Schizosaccharomyces pombe: one gene and its partner. The gene in region 2 interacts genetically with the main gene of each other region. Each region holds a gene or a part of one and is shown on either strand. Other genes may lie near its edges. The genes, in order: ecl2 and hsr1.

Region 1 (4,277 bases), on a different chromosome or scaffold from region 2:
TATCTGATCAAAGGAAAATCATTGAAAACATAGTATGCAAAAAAGACCCTCATGGGTTTGTAAACAAGATTCATACGTCCTTTAATAATCGATTTCATGAAATGAATGAATTCCAGTAGTAGGTTAAAATTTTTCCAAAAGATTCTGATGCGTTTAGCACTATTGTATTCTGCATATAGCAAAGCACATGGATGTATGTAGGATGGATACATGTGGGATGGGTACGTGAAAATGTGGGATAGATGTACCTATGTGGGATGTTTTGCATACCTACAGAGGAAGCACAGGTGGGATCGGATCCAGTAGCTACTACAGTTGGTGATTGTTACTGTTGGCAGAGTGTTGCATCCTAGCTCTTTGCTGAGGAGTTATTGCTTCGTGGCAAACTACAGAGTAACACGTGCTAGATCCCGCGAACGTTAGATTCAAAGATCCCAAACACTTACAACAAGGTTACATGAGTATAAGTAAATGGTACGTGAATTCTACGTTACCGGTCGAGGCAGAAAGTTGCTTCCGACCGTCTTCAGAATCAAGTCATTCCATGGAATTGTAAGACAATGTGTGAAACAACAACGAGATTTCACTTCTTTTTTAGCTAGTTCTCCCGCTATGGGTGTCGCACAAGGACAACAGGTAAAATTAATTTTGATGCTACTCATTGAGACATGGGAAACAAAACATCAATCATGCCACAGTCATTTCATTTTATTAGAATTCACTCATCTTTTTGTACGCAAGTTTTCGCAAATATTTTTCGAGTTCCGGTTGTTTGCTCACCTACTATCATAAATACAATGTATAATCAATAAACGATTCGCACTTTGTCGTTAGAAATCGAAAAAAAATAAATAAATAAATAAATAGATATATAAAAGTAAAACCATTCTCTAATAGTGAAATATATTTATATCTCTATCATGTGTAAATTTTGTTTTATTATTTTTTCTCTTTTTATTTTTACTTCTCTAGTTCTCTATTATTGAATTCCATTTATTTTATTCTATTTTATTATAATTTAAACTAATTTCTTTTTTTTCTCATTCATTCCCAACCGTCAGTTTAATTTTTCATCCCTGCCCTGCACATCTTTATACATGCTATATTTCGACCCCACCTATCGCCTTAAATCTCTCGTTGAAAAAAAGTCATCATCACCATGGTTCTCCATTTTGCTCCGCTACTGACTGCATCGGTGCCTCTTTTTACAGTCCAAAGATGTGCGATCAGCATCATGTTGTTGTGAGCTGGCGTACAACTGTCTTCTCACATGTATTTTTGGGGTTTAAAGGCGGAGAATATGATGCGAAAGGTCGCTTAAAGTGAGTAGAAGAGTATTCGAGAATTAAAATGAAAAAATAAAAAATGTAGTGTGTTTTTACTATTGTATATGACACCCCGGCTGAGCTAGCGTTTGTGTGTGCATTTAGTATGCGAGTTAGTACACACAGTGTTTTTCTCGGTTTCCCACTTCCGACTCAAATCCCCCACATCAGTCGTTCTGCTTTCTTCTCTTGTGTGTTGTAATCAAATTATGAAGAGGTAACATTGTACGCAACTCACGCAATGTATTAGCATATGCAGTCGGTCGGATGTGCATTATGAGATCAAACACAGTGTATGCTGTTTTCTTAACGTATTTTACCGATAGTATGGTATCTCAGGTCAGATCATCTGGACAGATTGCGTGCGCAGTTTTCAGATGTATATATAGAGCGCAGCAGTCCGACTGAGAGGTCGTAGAAGATTAACATATAGATCAGCAAAGGGTTTTTGACTTATACTCGCTGTTCTTGATTGCTTGAACTAAACGAACTGTCCTTCTTAAGTGTCTCTTGTTTTCCTCGACAAACAGTTTCGCTGTGTGATTGAGTAGAACTCACTTTTCCTCGTTTTCTCCATCCTAACCTCTTTTCGTCTTGTTGAATCACCCGCAGGACTCATCTCTTCCTTGAAATTGAGAAGGATTTGTTTTATTTTATTGTGAAGCTAAGTTCTTTTCTTTCTTCTTCCTCTACTAAATCGGAAATATCTTCCAAACGTCCCGTATATTTCGACTTTGAAATTTCTTTTTAGTCCGCTTTATACGCTCATCCGTTTTATCTGGTTTTCTTCAATAGGATCCAATACTAGCTCGCCTCAGCTTGGCTCATTCATTGGTTTTTCCTCGTTAACAAGTCATTTTAATTTTCTTTTTCTAATTTCTTCATCCTTTTGTATTCGTTAGAGACATGGATTTGGATTATTGCATAATTTGCGGAAAACCCACTACTGGCAACTTGTATTGCTCTCGTGAATGTCATCTGCAGGATTGCCCCGGCTGTGGTTCGACTTCGGAGCAGTGTTCTTACTCTAAGTCGGCTGATCTTCATATGTTATCTTCCCAATATTTAGATCATTTCCGAAGAAGGTCTTCCATGCCTTCCCCATCCACTTCGTCTTCTCTTTTGAACGGTTTTGTCGCTTCCAGACTTGCTGTTCTTTAATTTTACCTTACATTGCATTATTCCAACGACGGTGTCGTTGATATACACACATTCATTGCCAACGGCTCAAAAAAATTATATTTCATTTCTCTCTATCTCGGTTTTTTTTTTCATTTTCTCCTGTTTAATCTGGGAAAATTTATTTACTTATTTCTTTATCTTCCGGTTCCATTTTATTTTTTATTTCTCATGGGTACTTATATTTAATTGTGCCTTTTTTTAAACCTATTTTTATTTTATAATTCTTATAACTTGAAGTTTTTTTTTTCAAATTATTATGATACTTAAAAATTTTTATGCCTTTCTTAAATGATGATCACTACACTAACCGTGTGTGAATAGTTGATCATTGATTTTTGCGGTTCATACCGTGTATGTTTCTTAAATTGATAGCCAAGCATCCTTACATACTATCTTAAATTTCCAAATGATGTTGGTGCGTATATTTTGTTTATGCACTTCATTATTTCATGAGTTGTACAACTTAATTCGTTCACGCAATGTTGATGGTATGTTTCCATTACAATGTTTGTTTGGCTTCATTGGGGTTTTTTATGATTTTCTATGATAACGATATTGTATGAGTGGATTTGGTACTCGGACTTTTTCGTCAATTCGTAATGGCATTTTTTATTTCTTTCGAAATACGATGGATATTTTTTACGATTCTTTTATTCTTATGATATGGACTTTTGTTTCGGTGTGTCACGCAACTATTCTTACTTCTTTTCTGCAATCGCATTTTATTTGCACTGTCTAACTGTATTCGAGATTTGTCATTCGTGCTTTTTACATTATGCTCTGGCATCTGGGACAACTTTATGCTGAGTTCTTCTGAGCGCGTATTTTTAAAATACATAGAAGCTCTAGGCTTTCCCTCACTTCATCATTTCTTTTGCATATCAACATTTTGCATTGTCCCATTGGTTTTGAAGCTTTAGAGTTATTTATGTGTGTCGTGCTTTAAGTTCTCAGTTTTTGGCTCATCGTTTACGTGGGATTTTTGCATTAGACAATTTTTAGAGGTTGCGTATCAAACTATTTTATACCCAAGCACTTTGTTTTCTACGAATCGATACGGACATTTAACTGGCATCAGTACTTTAAAAAACGATAAAATATTTATTTTGATGAAATTTATATTGTTATGATAAAAAAAAAGCATAAAAATTGAAAACGCTTTTAAAAATATTCAATTTTATTAAAGTGCTTTGGTTGCTAGAAGAAAAAATAAAATTAAAAAATTAACGTATATCTACTGTGGTTGACATGTAAACGAATTATTTTGTGCGCAAAGGTAATACATAAATACTGGCTGAATAATAAAAGCGCTTTGTACAGCAGTATTAGGTTGAAAGGTTGTTTTACTTTTCTAGTTAAGTGTTCATCTTTATTCAAATGGATCTATTTGGGATGCCAACTAGAGGGCAGGAATTAGCAAAAATAAATTTAATAGTAAGTGCCCACACCAGGAATCGAACCTGGGTCGCATCGGCCACAACGATGAGTCTTAACCACTGGACCATGTGAGCATTTGTTATAAGAGCTCAAAATAGAAATACATATTTAGAAATTTGAAACTAAAAATGAAATTGTTAAATGCAGTAGAACTAAGGTGGATTAAGACTCTAAAAAAAAAATAATAAATAGAAAGAAGTTGTTTGCATAAAGTCAAAGGGTTAAAAAAAATATCATTCTTTGTCGCGTAAACACTTGATTCTGTTGTTCTCGCGTACTTCTTCCCATCAATTTGATTCCAGTAAATTAAACGCGGGCGTCTTCCTTACACAT
Region 2 (6,825 bases):
TGGCAACGTAACAGAAATAAATACCAACAAATGCATGATCAATTCCTGGACTTCTTTGCGGCCTGTTCTTTTTGGACCAAGTGAACAGTTGCCTAGGAACTTTTTGTTGCGCAATGACATTGTTCCGAATACTAATAATTCTGCTTGGAGCGAATATATACGCAATTTGTACCCTAAGGCATATATCTATTTACTTCAGTATACTATAGCAGTTTGTAAGCCGACTATCGCGCCAACCAATGTCGCTTGCTGCTGTAGCAAATGTAATTCCACCATGAGTCCTTTCTGGTGGCCTGGCAACATATGTCAGGCCTGTCATTGTTTGAGAGTTGAGTGATTTAAATTCTGCCATAAACTCTCCATGTAATTTTATATTCGTTATTATTATTATTATTATTATTATTATTTTATTTTTTTGGAGTTTACGTTACGTCTTTTATGATACTTTGCAGTGGCTTTACTTTTTAGCTTATCCAGCTAAGATGTTCACAAAAAAAGGATCAATATGTTTTCATCCGAAAACACAACAGTCATTCATTGAAATAGTTTATTTCATGTACATATTAACAACAAATAACAGTATATCTTTCACTGTACATTAGTTTATTGGATTTGTAAAACCGTTCCTTGAAGAACCCCAAAACGAAAATCATTTGTAGCTATCGCTCCGAGCCTTTATGATAAACAACTAAAAAATTTTAAAAAATTGGAACGATAAAAAATCACCGCTAAATAGTCCCTCATAATATAACACGCTCAAGCTTTAAGTATTATATCCGGCGTTATGCCTTGATAATAGCCTAAAGATAGCAAAGCAGGATATGCTAGTAAACAATGAAATTGCCATTTTGAAACGTAAAAAATAGATTTAGTAAACATGTAAATAGGTAGAAAAAAGGCTGATGAAAAATTATAATTGAAAACATTCTTATAAAACAGTTCAATGTAAAAAAAACCCGAATTTAGGCAGTTAATTTATAAAAATGCTTAAGAACTAGGATAAGGTTGATATTGATGCATCGGATTCATTAAAGGCATTTTTTGGTTAGGTGTTTGTACTGGTAGTTTAGATAGAAGTTCTGGACGAATTGAATTTGGGTAAGCAGCGATTTCTGGGACAATTTGTTGAGACAAAGGCCTTTGACTAGATAACATTAAATTAGTGTTTTCAATCTGAGAGCTATCCATGCCTTGATTAATTGGAATCTTGTTTAAATCTTCAATTGGTTTTTGTGGTTGCACTGGAGCACCTGGAGCACCAGAAGAATAATAACCTGAAGGTTGGAAAAAACAGGCTAATCTAGGGCTTGCGTTGACATGCAACCTTTCATGCTGCCGTAAATTATCTCTACGAGAAAAACGTTTTCCACATATACAAACAAATGGCTTTTCACTAGTATGTAGAGATCGAATATGTCTTCTCAAATGTTCAGATCGTTTAAACTTTTTGCTGCACTCAGGGCATACAAATGATTTACCACCTGGTGAACGTGGTACTGAAGTCTTTCTATTAGACGGCTGTCGACGTTTTCTTCTCTTCATCGAACCGTCAGTACCAATCGTCCCTATTTGTTCTGTAGCTTCCATTGAATTAGGGGATCTACCCGATGTGTTTGTCTGATTTAAATACGTTGACATTGTCTCTCCAGAATTATAGGAACCCGTAACTGACTGCTGAGGGGTATCATTATAGGAAGTAGAAGGAATACCACCATTGTATGAATTCACATTAACTTCTTGTTCAGCATGATAAGACGGGCCAGAAGATTTAACGGACGGACATGAACAATTGGAAGGGATAGAGGAAGCCGTAGACAATGGTCCGCTTGAAACAGTAAGACAAGGTGAAGGTGGAAGTTGAGATACCAACGTAGTATATGAAGGCACGAGAGCATTGGGATTATATGAAGGCTGTTGAAAAGGATAATTAGGAACAGTAGTAGGAAAGTTTTCACAATTAACATTGGGTTGAGCTCTCAGTAAGTTATTCTGATATTGGGTATGCGGCCGATACTCATGCGACCATTGGTAATTTATTTCTTGAGGATTGGGAGCCGTAGAAGCTTGAGTGTTATAGAAATTGAATGAAGAGGGAATGTCAGTCGCATCATGCGCAGTATTGGTTGAATACATATAACCCTGTGAAGCTTCGGTATGCGAACTCTGAGGTGGGGCAAGATTATGCTGAGCACCTGCTTTATACCAATCGTAGAATGAAGAATCTACCGTATCATCATACGTTTGAGAAGGTTGATGGTATTGAGCTATCCGACTTTTAGAAATACCAGGATTTTGAGGCGGTGGTTGGAATCCATTGTTGTTATTCAACTGTTGAGTAGTATTGTTGCTATTTAAAGTAGAGCCATCATTATAGACTTGCGAAGGGTGCTGCGATGTGGAAAAGGAAGCAGATGGATATTGAGATGTACCACCAATAAAGGATGTTAAAGGCTCAGTTATAAGTGCAGTATTATGAGATTGTGCGCTACTTGGCGAAAGGGAAGGAGCCAAAGAAAAATGAAGAGTAGAAACCAATGGAGGCTTATTATCTTGTGAATCGACATATGCAACACTAGAATTATGAGTTGAAGGATGTGAGGGTAAAGAATATTCACGACATGAATTGGAGGGTAAGGGAGATGATGATTGTGCTGGGGCAAATGGACTGGTGTTTACCTGGGGAACCATTCGTTCAGAAAGAGTAACAAGGGGCATTGCCTCAGGAAAGAAAACCATACAAAGTAAGATAAAAGAATTATTATAAAAAGAAAGTAAGCGAATACTTTTCAAAAATAAAAAATCAACTAAAGAAAAGACAAAAAGAGAGGTAACGGAATATAGTCTTGCTAACTTATTGTTTATACACTTAGCGTTCGTAATATGCAAGTTTAAGAACGAAAAAAAAGTTCAATTGCAAGGGGGATCCTATCGAAAAAATAAATGATTATGTAAGCCTTAAAATAGAATAGAATTGATACGTAACAAAAGGTATTTTTGACTGCAAACAACGTAGCTTGCAGCAAGAAATACAAGGATCGAAAAGTATAAGTTCGACAAATATATAAGTAAAGCGGAAATAATTGAAGAACAAAACTTAAAAGATTAAGGAGCAAGACCAAAAAAGTTAAACGGAAAGAAACAAACGATCGTCTACAATAACAAGCAAGCCAACAAGTTTATTGACACAGGAAAATCAAGTGTAAAAAATGTTAACAATACACAAAAAAAATACGTTTAAAGGGTCTGTAAAACTCAATGGCACTAGAAACTTGAATAAAGTATGATCGATTTTTAGAAAGCACCGATTTCCTCTTTGAATTTTACTGAAAAAGAAGAGAAGATATGTCTAGTGAGTGAATAAAAAGGGAATAAAAGAAAAAGAAAGAAAATGTATTGATTTGTCGCGGAAAGACGAGTAAAAAGGGAATAAATAAGGGACGCGACAAATCGAAAAAAAAGAAAAGGACGAGAGAACAAGTATGACAGAGTTATAAGGCTGTAGACATCAAAATCAAGACAAAAAAGATATGATTATTTAGATGTTTATAAAAAAAGATAAAAAGCCAGAATTAGTATGAGGCAGAACTGAGAAAAGTTAATAGTACGAGACGAAAGTGTAGTAAGTATCCAAGAATTGAAAGAATCAAAGCAGTAGAGGAAAGATGTATCTGGAATAAAAAAAATTACAGTACAATTATTAGAAAATAAAAAGAAGGAAAGCCTTGATCTGCTGATAGGAAAAGAAAAAATGCTGTGAATAAACAAGCGTTCTATCGAAGAAGCAATGTGATTCTTATAGATTGGAAAAAAAGAAAATTTCGAAAGGAAAGTTCCAAATTAAGATTCAAGAAGATAAATTAGGAAAAAAATAAGCTATTTGAGTGAAACGTTTACTTCACTACCAATGCCTCAAACCCACAGGAGCACGATGTGCAACAACAAAAAAATATGGATTAAGAAACAAAGACAAATGAAATTAAGGGGAAATTTTTAACTTTTGAATAATGAGGATAATAAAAAGGAATGGCTTTTGTACTTTGTAAAGGAAAAGGGTAAATGTATCAATTTATGTTCTGGTAACCTTTGTGATGCAATTCGGTATATGAGAGCCTGGAGCGATTATAAAAGTGTGTATTGTGCACACATATATCAATATATCAATTAAAAAGATTGAGCATATAAGAAGAGATAATAGTGTAAGATGGGTTTGCAAACACTAGCTGAGCTACTCCTTTGTAGGCAAAAAGAAAAAGGAATATTGGAGAAAAAAAGAAAAAAAAGGGTGTGTGTCGAGTGTGAAGGCAGTATGTATGACTTGAAAAAGGAAACGGCACACTCGGTTCCGACGAGCAAGGGGAAATCAGTTACAAATTCAACCGATTGAAAAGAGAAATTACTTATTTTTACTCTTCCCCAAAAAATATACTAGGCGTAGTAAAAAGCGCTATACTTTTGACTACGTTGTATGTATATGTATATGTGTATATAATACAGATGAGCAAGTTTATGTGGATGCAGATATATAGGGATATATGTACACAGACAAACTACCTTTTTCCTAGACGAGAAAAACTAAACGTTGAAACGCCAGAAGAGGCGAGTTTAATATGTGGGAAACTGAGACTAGCGCTTCAATGATGTGGAAATCTGTTCCTTATCTAAGAAGCGACGGTTTCGTTTACACGTATCGACACGATAATACCGTAGCGATGTTACGCAAGTGTGTATCCACCATATCAACCAACAAACGTCTGCAAGAGGCAAAAACTGACGGTTCGCTGACAACGAGTTCTCCCATAAAAGAAATGTGATGATGTTGGAGTAAGCCGATGTCACTGTAACACTCATCACGTGGCGATTGGGAAGACAGCACTTCCACCGTTTATGTAAGATTAGAAAAAAGACGCGATCGAGATTGTAGTGCTGTAAATTGGTATGCCAAAGTAGAAAAAACAGAGAGCAGGTCGTTTTTTGTTACAAAAAAAAAAGAAAAAGATGGAAATTTACGGCTTTATTGATTGATGAATAGTTTAAGAGAAACTCATTTTATTTTATTGATGAGTTTTCAATTTTTTGCTAAAAGTAACCTACGGGATAATCCGAGTGTGAAGAGGATGTGTAGCAAATTTTTACCTACATTCAATCCCGTATGCTTTGGCGGGGAGAGGGGAGAGATAAAGGATGATTATTGGTCAAGGTGAATAAGAAAGAAAAAAACTTGCTGCAGCAGCGACAACGTTCAAGTTAAGCGTAAACCAATGTAGCTTGGCAGATAGAAATGAAAAAGAAGAGGAAGAAAAAAAAAAGGCTATAGAACTGGAGCATATGGTTTGAGGATAAGGAATGTGTATTCCAAACTGAGAGACATAGTTATAAGTATGATTCTTTGTTTATTTTATAAACCATGAAAAACTAGAACTTTTATTATCTGCTACAATGGTTTTTCTAATTCTATTTGTTTACCATATGGTGGTGGTGATGGATGATCAGACAAGATATTGATTGATATCGTACATTGGGGGTAAAGAGGAAATTTTGCTATTGAATCTCGCTCCCATTTTTCGTTTGTAAACTTATTTATTTTATAATTATTTTTATTTCTTTTATTTATTTAATTAATTATTTAATTAATTGATTTATATTTTAATTGTATTTTTGTGCATTTTTTATAAGACCCGCATACTCGATGAATGCAAAATGTATTCTTACATCTTATTCAGCTCTATCTTGGGGTTTTCTCTACTTTTTTTCTGCCCATACATACACACACACTTAGTGCTTTCAAAAACCGACAATCCATGTTTCATTCACTGGATCGGCAGTTAAGGAGAGAGAGTAAATGAAAGGAGGGGCAAGGGGGAAGCAGGGAAATGCGTAGTTTTAACTTTTAACAGACCTTTATAACAAAGATATGAATTGTAAAATGCAGTCCAGTTTAATCCAATTCGCAAGCACTAACTCCATTGGCATAAATACTAACCCACCCTTATTGCTCATCGTGCGCTTCATTCATAAGTTGCTTGCATTGGCTGGCTACGAATGATTTGCTTGGGTACGCAACGCATTATTATTAATTACCTAAAAAAAAAAAAAGAAGGACCTAGCTCCTGTGTGTGTGTAAATTTTTTTCTTTGAAGTATTGAAAGAAAAAAAAATTTTTCATTCGTTTTATTCTTGTTTTTTTTTTTTTTTTATCTTTGTTTCATTTGTCCAAGAATGGTTTTGTGGCAAGTAGCTTAGCCTACATAACGTCTGTTTGATAGAATTGTAAAAAAAAAAAAAAAAAAAAAAAGCGAAAAAAAAAAATATATTCCCTTTGCTAATAAAAAATTGTTTGTTAACTTTCTTCTAGGTCAAGCTGACGATGACTTTGTAATTGTGTATCACGCACGCACTAAGCTTCAGTTGTTAAAAATAAATCGCCTTACAAACAAAGAAAGCAAATCAAATAGCATATTAATTTGTTTTGTTCGTCCGCCTCGCTATTCTATGGATCGATCTCAGCTCCAGTGCTTGGTTTATCTGAAAACTCACTCACGCTACGCCGATACCACCACTATGGGTGTCACTTGCTCCGGGACATTCAACCGACCGAAGAGAAAACAAGGAAGCGGTTGTGAGGAAATACCAAATATCTTTGTAGAGGTTTTCTGACATAGTAACAGAGGGGATCCCATAGGAAATTCAAACAATTACCATTGAATTCATTGGAAATGTTTGCCGAAGGGAAAGCATAAACTACACTACGCTGGACAGGCAATTACTTTCTTTCCATTTCATTAGGTGACACACGCTTCAAACTTCTTCTAGCCGATCTGTATAAGA

The links.
Region 1: of hsr1 (region 2) and ecl2, changing one suppresses a phenotype caused by changing the other (phenotypic suppression), as found in Schizosaccharomyces pombe (one study listed by BioGRID).

The regions. Positions count from the first base shown.
Region 1 is NC_003423.3:960,470-964,746, reverse strand, and holds ecl2 (protein Ecl2), read left to right. Parts: upstream 1-2,231; coding exon 2,232-2,486; 3' UTR 2,487-3,740; downstream 3,741-4,277. Other genes in the region: SPOM_SPBP35G2.17 (uncharacterized protein), read left to right, coding at 472-792.
Region 2 is NC_003424.3:1,955,222-1,962,046, reverse strand, and holds hsr1 (DNA-binding transcription factor Hsr1), read right to left. Parts: upstream 4,575-6,825; 5' UTR 2,737-4,574; coding exon 988-2,736; 3' UTR 501-987; downstream 1-500. Other genes in the region: Lid2 complex PHD finger subunit Snt2, read left to right, coding at 1-337. UniProt on the Schizosaccharomyces pombe protein: Transcription factor that globally supports gene expression in response to hydrogen peroxide.